Drosophila melanogaster: one gene and its partner. The protein of the gene in region 1 interacts with the protein of each later gene in a pairwise test. Each region holds a gene or a part of one and is shown on either strand. Other genes may lie near its edges.

Evidence for each region.
Region 2: the proteins of Nnk (region 1) and CG11247 interact in a two-hybrid assay, tested with the Drosophila melanogaster proteins (one large-scale study listed by BioGRID).

Annotation. Positions count from the first base shown.
Region 1 is NT_033777.3:17,802,684-17,807,075, reverse strand, and holds Nnk (nicknack), read left to right. Parts: upstream 1-1,826; 5' UTR 1,827-1,907; coding exon 1,908-2,021; intron 2,022-2,079; coding exon 2,080-3,035; intron 3,036-3,097; coding exon 3,098-3,220; intron 3,221-3,419; coding exon 3,420-3,546; 3' UTR 3,547-3,851; downstream 3,852-4,392. Other genes in the region: CG17801 (uncharacterized protein), read left to right, coding at 7-129, 187-983, 1,054-1,167, 1,228-1,339; CG17806 (uncharacterized protein), read left to right, coding at 3,910-4,020, 4,071-4,392.
Region 2 is NT_037436.4:21,723,812-21,730,708, reverse strand, and holds CG11247 (uncharacterized protein), read left to right. Parts: upstream 1-1,902; 5' UTR 1,903-2,258; exon of another isoform or gene 2,259-2,316; 5' UTR 2,317-2,422; intron 2,423-3,771; 5' UTR 3,772-3,970; coding exon 3,971-4,546; intron 4,547-4,758; coding exon 4,759-5,154; intron 5,155-5,213; coding exon 5,214-5,810; 3' UTR 5,811-6,383; downstream 6,384-6,897. Other genes in the region: CG14570 (uncharacterized protein), read left to right, coding at 281-967; Polr2H (RNA polymerase II, I and III subunit H), read right to left, coding at 1,067-1,516.

The sequences.
Region 1 (4,392 bases):
GATCATATGTTTGAAATGAAAAAGCCTTCGCAATGCCATTTGTGCGCCTCGTGTTTCTGTCACCTGAATCCCACGATAATTTTTTGCCTGGAAGTTCTGGCCAAGATCAAGGATCTCACTGGAATATGGGTATGTTGATGGTTTCTTGTGTGCGTGAATGGCATAACCCATTTACTCCATTTACAGTTAGAACAGAATGAACGCCAGCCGCGTCATATTTGCCCATCTTGTTTAAATGACTTGAACACATCGATTAAGTTAAAGAAGCGCATTCAACGAGTTCACAATGAAGCAACGCTGAGGCGGGAATCTGGGCTTGATGAGGATCTAGAAAGCACTGTATCCGATATAGAGCCAGAAGGGGATTCCAGTGACTTGGAATCGGAGGAATCATATGATTCAGAAAACTATCCATTTGACAAAAAAGCAGAGGAATCCGATATTGATTTAAATCTCGCCCATGAGGATAGGAGAAACGAACCACATAATCCTTATGATTCGGAAACCCCCTTAATATTTAAGCATAAAAATCCATTAATTGAGACTCCTTCATTTGCAAATGAAAACTTGCCTAACAAAGTCGATGCAAAAAGCCCAAAAAAGGGAAACTTTATACAAATTGGAACCGATCTGAGACTACTTACAACGTATCCCTCTATTAAGGTAGTAAAGCCCCTTGCATTAGCTCCAGAAGATGTGGCAGCTGAGAATGTACCCCCTGCAAAAAGGACAGCTCGGAAAATGCAATCCCTGGTGTGCCCTAAGTGCGGAAGGGTCTTTAAGACTCCATACAACCTAAAGACGCATATGGTGCGCCACACGGGTGAGAAGAACTTTCCATGCACGTTCTGCGACAAGCGGTTCGTCACCAAGTATCTGGCTCGTCTACACGAACGAGTGCGCCACATGGGCGAACAGCCGTTTGAGTGCAACTTCTGCTCGGCAACGTTTTTCACAAGTACAGCTAAGTCGAGCCATGAGCGGTAAGTCCTTACTGCAATTGTATTTAACTTTAAAAGCGCTGACATAAACAATTTCCTAACACTATGACAGAATACGGCACATCAGAGATCTGAGGTACCAATGCGACCAGTGCACCAAGAGATTCAATACCAAGACCTGCTTGAATAAGCACAAGTTCCTGCACTCAGGTCTTAAGCCCTTTGAGTAAGTGAAATGATATGAAATTTGCGCATATTTAATACAAGTCGTGTATTTCCCTCTCAGCTGCGTTATTTGCCAAATCAACTTTGCCCGAAAGGCAACGCTAAGGAGTCACTTCGATTCGGTTGCTCACCAGAAAAGAGCCAGCGCCATCCTGGAATCCGAAGAGCATTGATTCGCCAAAGAATTAGAGATCGTTTTTAATTCCGTCTTATAAGATGCGGGATATGTAGATGAAAGCACGACTTGGATAATTCTGAGGCTCAGGATATCTATTAGACATAAATGTTTGAACGTATTCTCACTGTTTTGGCACTGGATTGCCCTTCGTTTGCTATAACTTTTTTGTATTACATTTTTGTCATTTGCTTTTCCTATTATGAAGTAGTTTCTTTAAGAGTGTAATATTTGGACAGCCATTCATTTCGAAATGTTAAATACCTTACTATTTAATTAATCGTTTTCATTTAAAAACAGAAAACTTATGTATAATATATATTTTTAATTCTTTTTTTGAAGTGGTAAATATATTTGGTAATTCCTATTTGCCACGAAAAGCAAATGCTTGGAGTATATTCCATAACGACCCTTGAATAAAAGGCGCCATTTTCAAATTTTGGCGCCACCGCTTGGCAGTCACCCAGAGACGCGGACAACAACAACAGTTCGCTGCGAATGGCCCAAAATGAAGCAGCAGCTGTTAATAAAGCAAGGAATTTTGGCTCGAAAAATAACTCTTAAAAATGACGCCACAATGCCGGTTGTGTGGAGATTTAATATACACGCAAAATCCAGTTAACATATTCGATGAGAACAGCAAAATGGTCAGGCAAATCGCATTGGTCACGGGCCTTTGGGTGAGTGTGTAAATTAAATTGGCAAATTTAAACCGCTAATGCTCGTTTGGTTTTCAAGCTCACCGACCACTCGAAGATGCCCCGGAATATGTGCTCCTGCTGCCTGCTGAGCCTGAAGAGCGCCATTGCCTTCCGGCAAGCCTGCATCAAGACCAACAATCGACTGACAATCCAGCGCCGAAGTGTGGAAGCCAAGGATGACGGATGCTGGGCTGATCCGCTGAGCGATGCGCACGAGGGGCTGAAGATCAACGATGCGGAAGTGGAGCAGGAGGTGTTGTACGAGGTGTCCTATGCGGATAATGAAGGACTGGAGGAAGACCACGACCTGTACAAGAAGGAGGAGGAAGAAAGCGAGGTTAATGAGAACAAGGAATTTGAAGATATTGCCTGCGAAATACCCTTCAGTAAGGAGGATGATGAGCAAGAGCAACAGCAGGAGTATGAGGATATGGTGGATAAAAAGACAGGACATGATGATGGCGAGGAGTCACAGGAATGTGAGGAGTCACAGCCAGATGAGGAGGAAAGTCAGCAAAATGAGGAGGACGAAGAGGAGTCACAGGAAGACGACGACGAGCTTTGGCAGAACGAGGACGGCGACAGCGATACAGATGCTGATTCTATGTCAGATATAGAAGCCACATCGCGTCAATCGGCCCTTGACGAAGATAAGAAGCCTCGTCGAAAATACACCAAGAGATCATCTCCCAAAAACGACGACACCGACTTTCTCAAACCTGCGAAGAAAAAACGAAAAACATACATAAGCCAAAAGGTCCACATCTGTGACCATTGCGGCAAGAAATTCACCGACAAGGGCAACTTTAATCTGCACGTGCTGCGCCACTCGGGCGTCAAGCCCTTCGAGTGTCCTGAGTGCGGACAAAAGGAGTTCAACAGGTACATCCTGAACATTCACATTCGGGTGAAGCACCGCGGAGAGAAGCCATACGCTTGCCAGTTCTGCGACGAGCGTTTTGTGCACAGTACTATGCGATCGCGCCACGAAAAGTGAGTCTATAGCATACCTTAAATCCCCTAAATTGCACCTACGAACACTGCCATTCTTTCAGCCGGGTACACCGGAACAAGAAAACACCAAAGAACTTCAAGTGCAACTATTGCGACAAGCGATACGAGTCGAACTACCAGAGGGCCAAGCACGAGGTGGTCCACACCGGCGAGCGTAACTTCCAGTAAGATCTTGTGAAGATATATGGCTAGATTTTTCTTTCTCCTAACATATTCCTTTAAGTATCAATCATCTTATTATTCCCACTTTGTAACTCTTTACTTCCTAATATCCACTACATCCAGCAATCAAGTTAACTATTTCCTGCTTGAAAAGTTACTTTTTCAAATGTTTAACTTTGTTTTTATCTACTTTCCCCTTAGCTGTGAGGTCTGCAAAGTGTCCTTTACACGGAACTCGAACTTGAAGACCCACTACCGCTCCAGGCAGCATCAAAATAAGCTGATCGCAATGAGTGCTAAGTCCGAAATTGATTCCAAAAATAAATAAGGTACAAATGTTTTGTTGTTAAGTGTTGTCATCCGTTTAGAGGTCTAATGTTCTTATCTGTTAAAATTATAATAATTTAGTATAAAAGTATTTCTAAGAAGTTAATAAGATGAAATATCATAAGATATCTGACTGTGATTTGGGTGTATCGATCAGTTTTGAAAGTGGATCTTTCATCCTCTTAAATATTTAACGTTTATTACAACAAATCCACAGTTCAAATCGGAAGAACTAATTCCTTGTAGTTCACTTTAAAATGTGCCATTCACACAAAACAATGATAAACTAGATTATTCTGTAAACAGAAGTCCAACTTTGTTTACTTGGCGGAAACTAAACAATTGAGTTGAAACTGCAAAAAGGATGACCACGCTGTGCCGCACCTGTGGCCAGGAGGCGGAGCACGCCAAGTCACTTTTCGATAAGGAGGCCAGAGATGTCCTGAGCAACATCCTCAAGCTGACGGGCTTTTGGGTAGGTGACTATTCCCGGTAACCACGGAGTCATTCCCTCTTCGATTCCAGTTGAGGAACCAGCCAGGTGTGCCAACGAGGATCTGCTTATCCTGCTTGCTGGATCTGAACGATGCCATCGCATTCCGGGAGCGCTGCATCAGGACCAATTCGTCTTGGTTCGAAAAGCAGGGCAAACAAGAGGATTCGGACACTGAGACTGCAAGGGAAGGCGGGAATAACAGGTTAGAAAGTAGGGTGGATGTTATGCCCATTAGTATTGCACAGCCGCAAAGGAGAAGGATTCTACCACAACGCAGCAAGAAAGTGGATGGAGTGCCTCTTAAGACAGTAGAAACCCCAATTTACCCTTTAGTTGTCCCGGAAATACCGC
Region 2 (6,897 bases), on another chromosome or scaffold:
ATTTATTATTTTTTTTATTCCTGTGTAAAAATAATATACAATTATTTTGTATAAGCACTCCCTTTTAAAGAAATCTAACCACACATTTTCATAACAGCCAGTACTTACACGCGCCTTAGTCACCACCTCCATGGGCACGTATCGTTGGACCTGGCTTATAAGTCATCGGCCTCGAGGTTTCTTCGGGCGTTTGAATTGGGCAGTTCCCAAGGGCATTCCTAGGGGGTATTTATAGGCGCCACTTAGCCGCCCATGCAGCAGTTCATGTCAGCACACCACAATGTCCGGTTATCCAAGTGCTTCTCTGGTCACCTTTGCGCTTTGTTCCATTCTTTGCCTGAATGGAATTGAAGGCAGTCATCTGAGGTTCCCAGGACCCGCGGCGGGAAGGTTTCTGCAAAGACAGGAACAAGCCCCATATCCACCAGCAGGCCTGGTCCCCGATCCGCCATTCGACCTGCCAACGGAGGAGGCGGTTGAATTTCCTCAACCGGAGGATACATATGGCCCTCCACCTGAAACATACGGACCACCGTCTTTGGTGGAAGCGCCAGCTGAGGTCTACGGCCCACCGGACCAAATTTATGGACCTCCCGATCAGACCTACGGACCTCCAGACCAGCCAGCCAATGATGACAGCTCCAACACATTGCCACAAAGCGCAGCTATAATTAATTTGGCAAGTCTGCCGCTACCACCCCAGGCTCAGTATGTTCTGCCGCTTCTGAACCGACTTTCTGCCTTCCGCCCGCAGCGTCCGGTTCTGCGGACTCCGCAGCGACGGCCGGCTAAGCTTACGGTTCGTCGTCGGCCAGATGCGGTCAAGATTGTGAATGCTATTAGGCCTACTCCAGTGTTCCCATCGACTCCGCAGGCTTTGCCCTTCGTGGATCGCCACATTCCTTTTCGCCCACGGCCATCTCGCCTGATAGTCAATGCGCCTTTCAGACGCCCATCCAGGCAATAGACTACTTCTTTCAGCACTCCAAGCAATGTCATGAATACACTGTAAATAAAGTTTGTTGTCTATGTCTAATTTGCGATCGAAAATAATTAGGTAGAAAATTCAGAAGGCCAGCCGCTTCATCAGCAGGTACATGTGCTGGTCCACCTCGAAGCCATGAAGATTGTTGGCGTCACCCTGAAGTCGCATCAGCAAGCCGCCGAATGACACGTAGGCGGAGAGCCGGGAGGCCTCATTGTGTGCTTCGTCGCCCTCGATCCTGTAGATCTTGCCGTACATCACGTACTCAAAGCTGTCCGCCCGCGTTCCCTCGTGCTCCATTGGATTGTACTCCCCGCTGTCCGGGCAACCATCCTCGCGCAGGGTGGTGGCCAAAACCAGGCGGAACTTGTCGCCCAGCTCCATGGGGTATAGCCACGAGTTGATGTCCAGGATGAGGTCCATCTTAAACGACTCGGACTCGCAGTGCAGGCGGGATACACGGTCGAACTTTTTGCCCTCCGGATCCATGTCCTTTACGTTGAAGATGTCCTCAAAGAGTACTCCAGCCATTTTAACTGAAATGTAGTATTTGATGAGTTATTGCTTTGAAGTCAGTTTAGTGGAGCTCCAAAAACGCACGCCTTACCTTGAGTCGGCTAATTAGATTTTATACGTATTTGATCTTATATGCGGAGGTAAATGCGTGTTCTTTTATGAACTGGGTTTATATCAGCAGAATTTTATTATATTTAAACTGTTAGCGACTAATATTTATTTCTTAAATATTTTGCATGCGCGTGTTAAGTATGAGAGATGCCAGATCTTTCTGGCGGCTTGAGTGTTGCCACACGTCTGCGATTTCAGTGAGCAAAGTGGTCACGTTCAGCAGGCTGTGATTTCAGTGTGTAAAAGAAGTCACGTTCAACAAAGTGTGCCTCACTTTGTTCTTACTGAAATTTCAATAAATATTGCAGTGATACTGCGCAATGTGATTTTTAACTTATTTATAACTTATTGCGCCGCAACCTACACGTTATTGGATTTTCTCTAACTAGTGACTGTGCATCACGCTCCCATCTGTGGCCGCGCAGACAGAGAGTCCCAGTGTGACCGTCTATCGGTGAATACACATCACTAACATTAAGAACAACATCGAAAAACCACCGAAAACTGTTATTTATTTTGCTGGACAAAACGCAGTATTGGCTTAGAATCGGCAAACCCGCAAAGTCCCACAAAGGTTAAGCCGCAGGCAGCACGATGGATACACCTTGAGGAGCCAGTCGGACTGCCACCTAGCGGATTGCAAAAAGTATGTACACACAGCTCGTGGTGTCGAAATTAAAAACAAATAAGAAGCGAACTCATAGTCGGACGCGGAATGCATAGGAAGTCCAGGTGTGTCCCATTCGGGGTGATGCTAAGTTTCCTGTGGATCGAAGGCCCTTAGCCTAGCGACTCCTGCTTTTTGCGAAGGTAAGTCCACGCCCGGTGGGGCTTTGGTGTTGGTGTTGAATGTGGAGCCCCTGGGCCAAATGTGTAGCATATGTGTATAATGGATTGCTTTACGTATATGAGTGCTGTGGTGCTGGTTCATTAATTACTAACAATCGGTTGCAAGACCCCGAAAACTACACAGTCGTCGAGTTTTGTGCCCCGAATACGAAAGACTTCAACGGCCCCTACCCTCATCCAGCGACCGCCGCCGCCTTAACCCTTACCCACCCCCATAACCCCGCCTATTTAGCATTACAAAACTGCTGTTATGTATTCACTTCTTTATTTTCGCTTTTTGTGTGTGATTTTCGCTGTCGTTCGTGCTTTTTGCCCTGTTCTCTTTCAATTTCGATTCCCAGCTGCGGATTCTAGCTTAAATTCGCTTTTTCAACAGTTTGGTCGAGGGCCGTTGTGCTGCTAAAGTGAGTTAGTTTTCAGCTTCTGCGGGTGCGGCTCTAATGAACCATTAACCCTCCGCAGGGGGAGGGGGTTGCTTGGCACTGGAATCGGAATCGGAGGGTTCCCAATCTGCTTGCCAGATGTTCGTCCCAGCCCAGGGTCATCGTAATCGCTCTCTTGCAGTTGCATTTTCAGTGTTCTCGCTTTTCATTGGAAACTCCGCCGCCTCGGAGAACAGACGCCGCGGGATCGAAAACGCTCAGGTTGCACAGCTTTATCTCGATATCTTTTTATAGCTCTACCGTGATTTTAGTGAAAGCGGTGGATTGCTTATCAGTTGTTGCCTTCCTCGGGATCTTATCAGGCGGTTTCTCCATCTCGCTCCCGCCCAAACAAAAGATTAAGACAACAAACTAAGAATTTTTTTTGGAAGCTTACGTTCGCTGGAAATGTCAATTGATAATGCGACCCACTTCAAGACTTGGGCTCCTAGCTCTGTACACCGTGAAAAACAGTCCACAACCTTCCGTTGTTAACTAGATTTGTAAAGAAACGAATATATTTTCTAATTGGATAGCCAATGAATTGCAATTAATTAATTAATTATGATAAACAACGTCTAAAAATCTCAAGTGATTTCGACAACACTGCAAAAATAGTAAGAACTATTGCATTAACGTAAAAAGTGCCATGCTTTTCGAAGCCCCTAAATATGCAAATCCACCAATTTTGGTAATATTTTTCCTGTGCATAGGTCTTATCACTGTTGACACAGCTGGAGTTTCTGTTCCGTTGCTGTTTCTCTTCTTGTTTCTGTTTCGGCTTCACTTGCGGTTACTATTTCTGTCTGTGTTTTTGATTCTCCGTCTGCTTCGGAACGTGGCGCTCGGCGAGTGGAGAATTAAAACAGCTCTTAACTTTTTTTGCAGCCCATCTGAACTAATCCAAACCAAAGGTGAATGGGAACTATCCTAGAAGTAGCAATCGAACCAAAAAATACGAATACCCTAAATTACATACGTAGAACATTAACCCTAGAAGTAAAGACAAACGCAGCAGGTGCCGGTGTTTCCCAGGAAGCGGTCCCCAGAAATTTAGTTACGAATCCAAATAATAAAAACCAAACAAATGGTACGCAGCCGTCGTAGTGTGTCCAAGGAGGATGCCGTCTCTCTGCTCACAGACAGCGGCATATCGCTGTCTTCGCCGCCGGCGGCGAGGGAATCCTCACCAGGCCCTACGCTTGCGATCAAAAGGAGGAAGAGCAGCTTGGCAAGTCTGCGCGATGCTTGTGTGGACGAGGAGGAGGACGACGGCGGAGAGCAGGACTCAAAGGATGATGATTACGTGCAACCGCAGCTTAAGAAGTCTGCCCGAAAGGGCGAACCGGTGAAACGCAAGCACCATGTCTGCAGTCAATGCTCCAAAGAGTTCGGTGGCAAGACGGATCTGCAGCGCCACATGCTTATCCACTCGGACGAACGACCGCACAAGTGCAAGGATTGTGGCAAGAGCTACCGCCAGGCGGTCAACCTGAAAAATCATATCACCACCGCCCACGAGCATCGGAAACAGTTCGTTTGTTCCCAGTGCCCAAAATCATTCGCCCTCAAGGAGCGCCTGCGGCTCCACATGCGCCTCCACTCTGGCGAGAAGCCCTATCCTTGCGACCTCTGCGACAAAAAATTCGCCCGAGGAGGTCAAGTGAGTAATACGACATTCCATTTTTAACTGAGATTTAACAATTAATTTTATATTTTTCTCATAATTTGATTTATTATAAACTTAAATAATAATATTTATTATAATAATTAAATATAAATAAGTGTATTTAATAATGAACTTTCTATTAGGCTTTTGTTTTTATAGGTCTTAACCATTGGTGTTCCTAATATATATTATCATTTATATTGCAGCTGCAACAGCACATGGTTTCTCACCACAAGACGAGTATCCAGCAGTTCAACTGCACTAAGTGCTCGGCCAGCTTCTCAACCAACGCCAATTTACGGGTGCACATGGAGCGACACGAGCAGGGCATGGAGCACCGGTGCAGCATCTGTGAGAACCAATTCGCCAACGAGCTGGCCCTGCGAGCGCACATAAACCAGGAGCACCACAAGCTGACGCAATTTGAGTGCGAGATATGCCATAAGATGATCGAGCCGGACGAGGATTTGGCCACTCACATGCAGAGGCACACCGCTGTTAAGACCCACGTCTGCGAGGTGTGCAACACATATTTCACCCAGAAAAGCCAGTACAATGTCCATATGCGAATGCACACGGGAGAGCGCCCCTATCAGTGTAGGGTAAGTTGAAAGGGTGTTAGCTTGCATGCAGCCGTAAATTATGTTTCTACTTCCATCAGATCTGCCACCAGACCTTTGCCCATTCAAGCGTACTAAAACTGCACATCCGAAAGCATACGGGGGAAAAACCCTTTCGCTGCCAGCTGTGCGAAGACGAAGTAGCCTTTTCTCAGCTGGCGCACCTAAAGAACCACATGAAGAAGATACACAAACAGCAAAAGCCCTACATGTGCGAAGGCTGCCACGATTTCTTTAAGATCAAGGTGGAGCTGCAGTCGCATGTTGAGCACTGCGCCAAGTGTCCAGTTGACGGGGACAAACCCAGTGGCAATCAGTCTGAAGATGCGCAAATTCTCTCTGTCTTAAGATTTAACATGGCAGTGGTACTGAAGAAAATTAGCTCCGCTCAAAAGCTGCGCCAGTTGGGCTACGAGAAGCGTCTAATCGATAACGTTATCATTGCATCCTTGAAGCTGGCTCAGCGACAATCCCATGACGACGCCACGATGACCCCATTGGCCAGACTCCGGCTAAATGTGGAGGAATTTCTTAAGTGGATTGTGCCAGCCCCCACTATGCAGAAATTCAGCGACGAATTGTTGTCTATAGACACGATTCTTGAGAAAATTGCTACCATGTATATGAAACAGAAGTAGAATCCAGGAGTTGATAGCCAACGCCAAATGCGAGTGTGCCATAGAAGAAGGATTTGTAGAACTAGTTCTTGCCATTTAGTTTAGTGTTTAGTAACCCAAAGTTGCAGAACGAAACCCAACCAAATAATTTATCCCAAAGATATATACTTTGTAGTACAGGTCATTTTAATGAATTACTACCCTTAATCCCAATTTTGCTGCTACCAAAAAGTATAATTTGAAGAATGTATGAGTTAGTGTTGTCATAATAATTTCCCTATTAAAGGAAATTAGTTTAAGAACGAATTTCGATGCAATAATTTATAAAATAATAGGCATAACACGATTGAAACCTGAAATATTTTTGTATGCTTAGTCTTGCCAGAGCAACAGATTGTCCCGGAGTGAATCTATAACAGCTCAAGTACAATACAACTCATTGTGGCCATGCTTGTAAAATTAATAAGCTTAATGCATTTAGTTGCCATTTGTCTTTTCCAACAAAAGTGCAAAATCTGAAGTGTACAACTGAAATGCAAATCAAAATACGCAAGTGAAAAAATGAAATGAATAATAAATATTATTTGTGACTACAACCCAACACTGGATATTAGTTTTTCGGACTTTTTAATCATGAAACAATTTGCAGCAAGTATTATTTTCGCTTATTTTTAAGATTTCGTAAGTCTGCGAGCTTACGTAAGAGTTAGAGAAAGTTTATGAGAACGAATGATAAAAAGAACACATTCCCTTAACTAAGAGTGAGCACGTCCACTATCCCACAAAGCTGCTCCCACACTTTTGAATATATTAATATTAATTTAATAATTTTGGTTTTTATTATTATTATTGAAAGTTTCTATGTTTATTCCAAAAGGATTTTGGCCGTCTACAACAAATGGCAAAGGCCTTACATATTATTTCAGTCAACTTTCGATCTTGCTGTAGCTGGTGTCTGGAAGTTGAGGATCTCGACTAGCATCTTAGGAAGCGACACGGCTTGAATCAATCAATTTTCTGCATCTCCTGGCTTGCGTGCCTTTGACCTTTGAGGCTCATCTATGGAATTTCAAGTCCGGCTGGAAGCTGCATTCCATATTTGAATGCG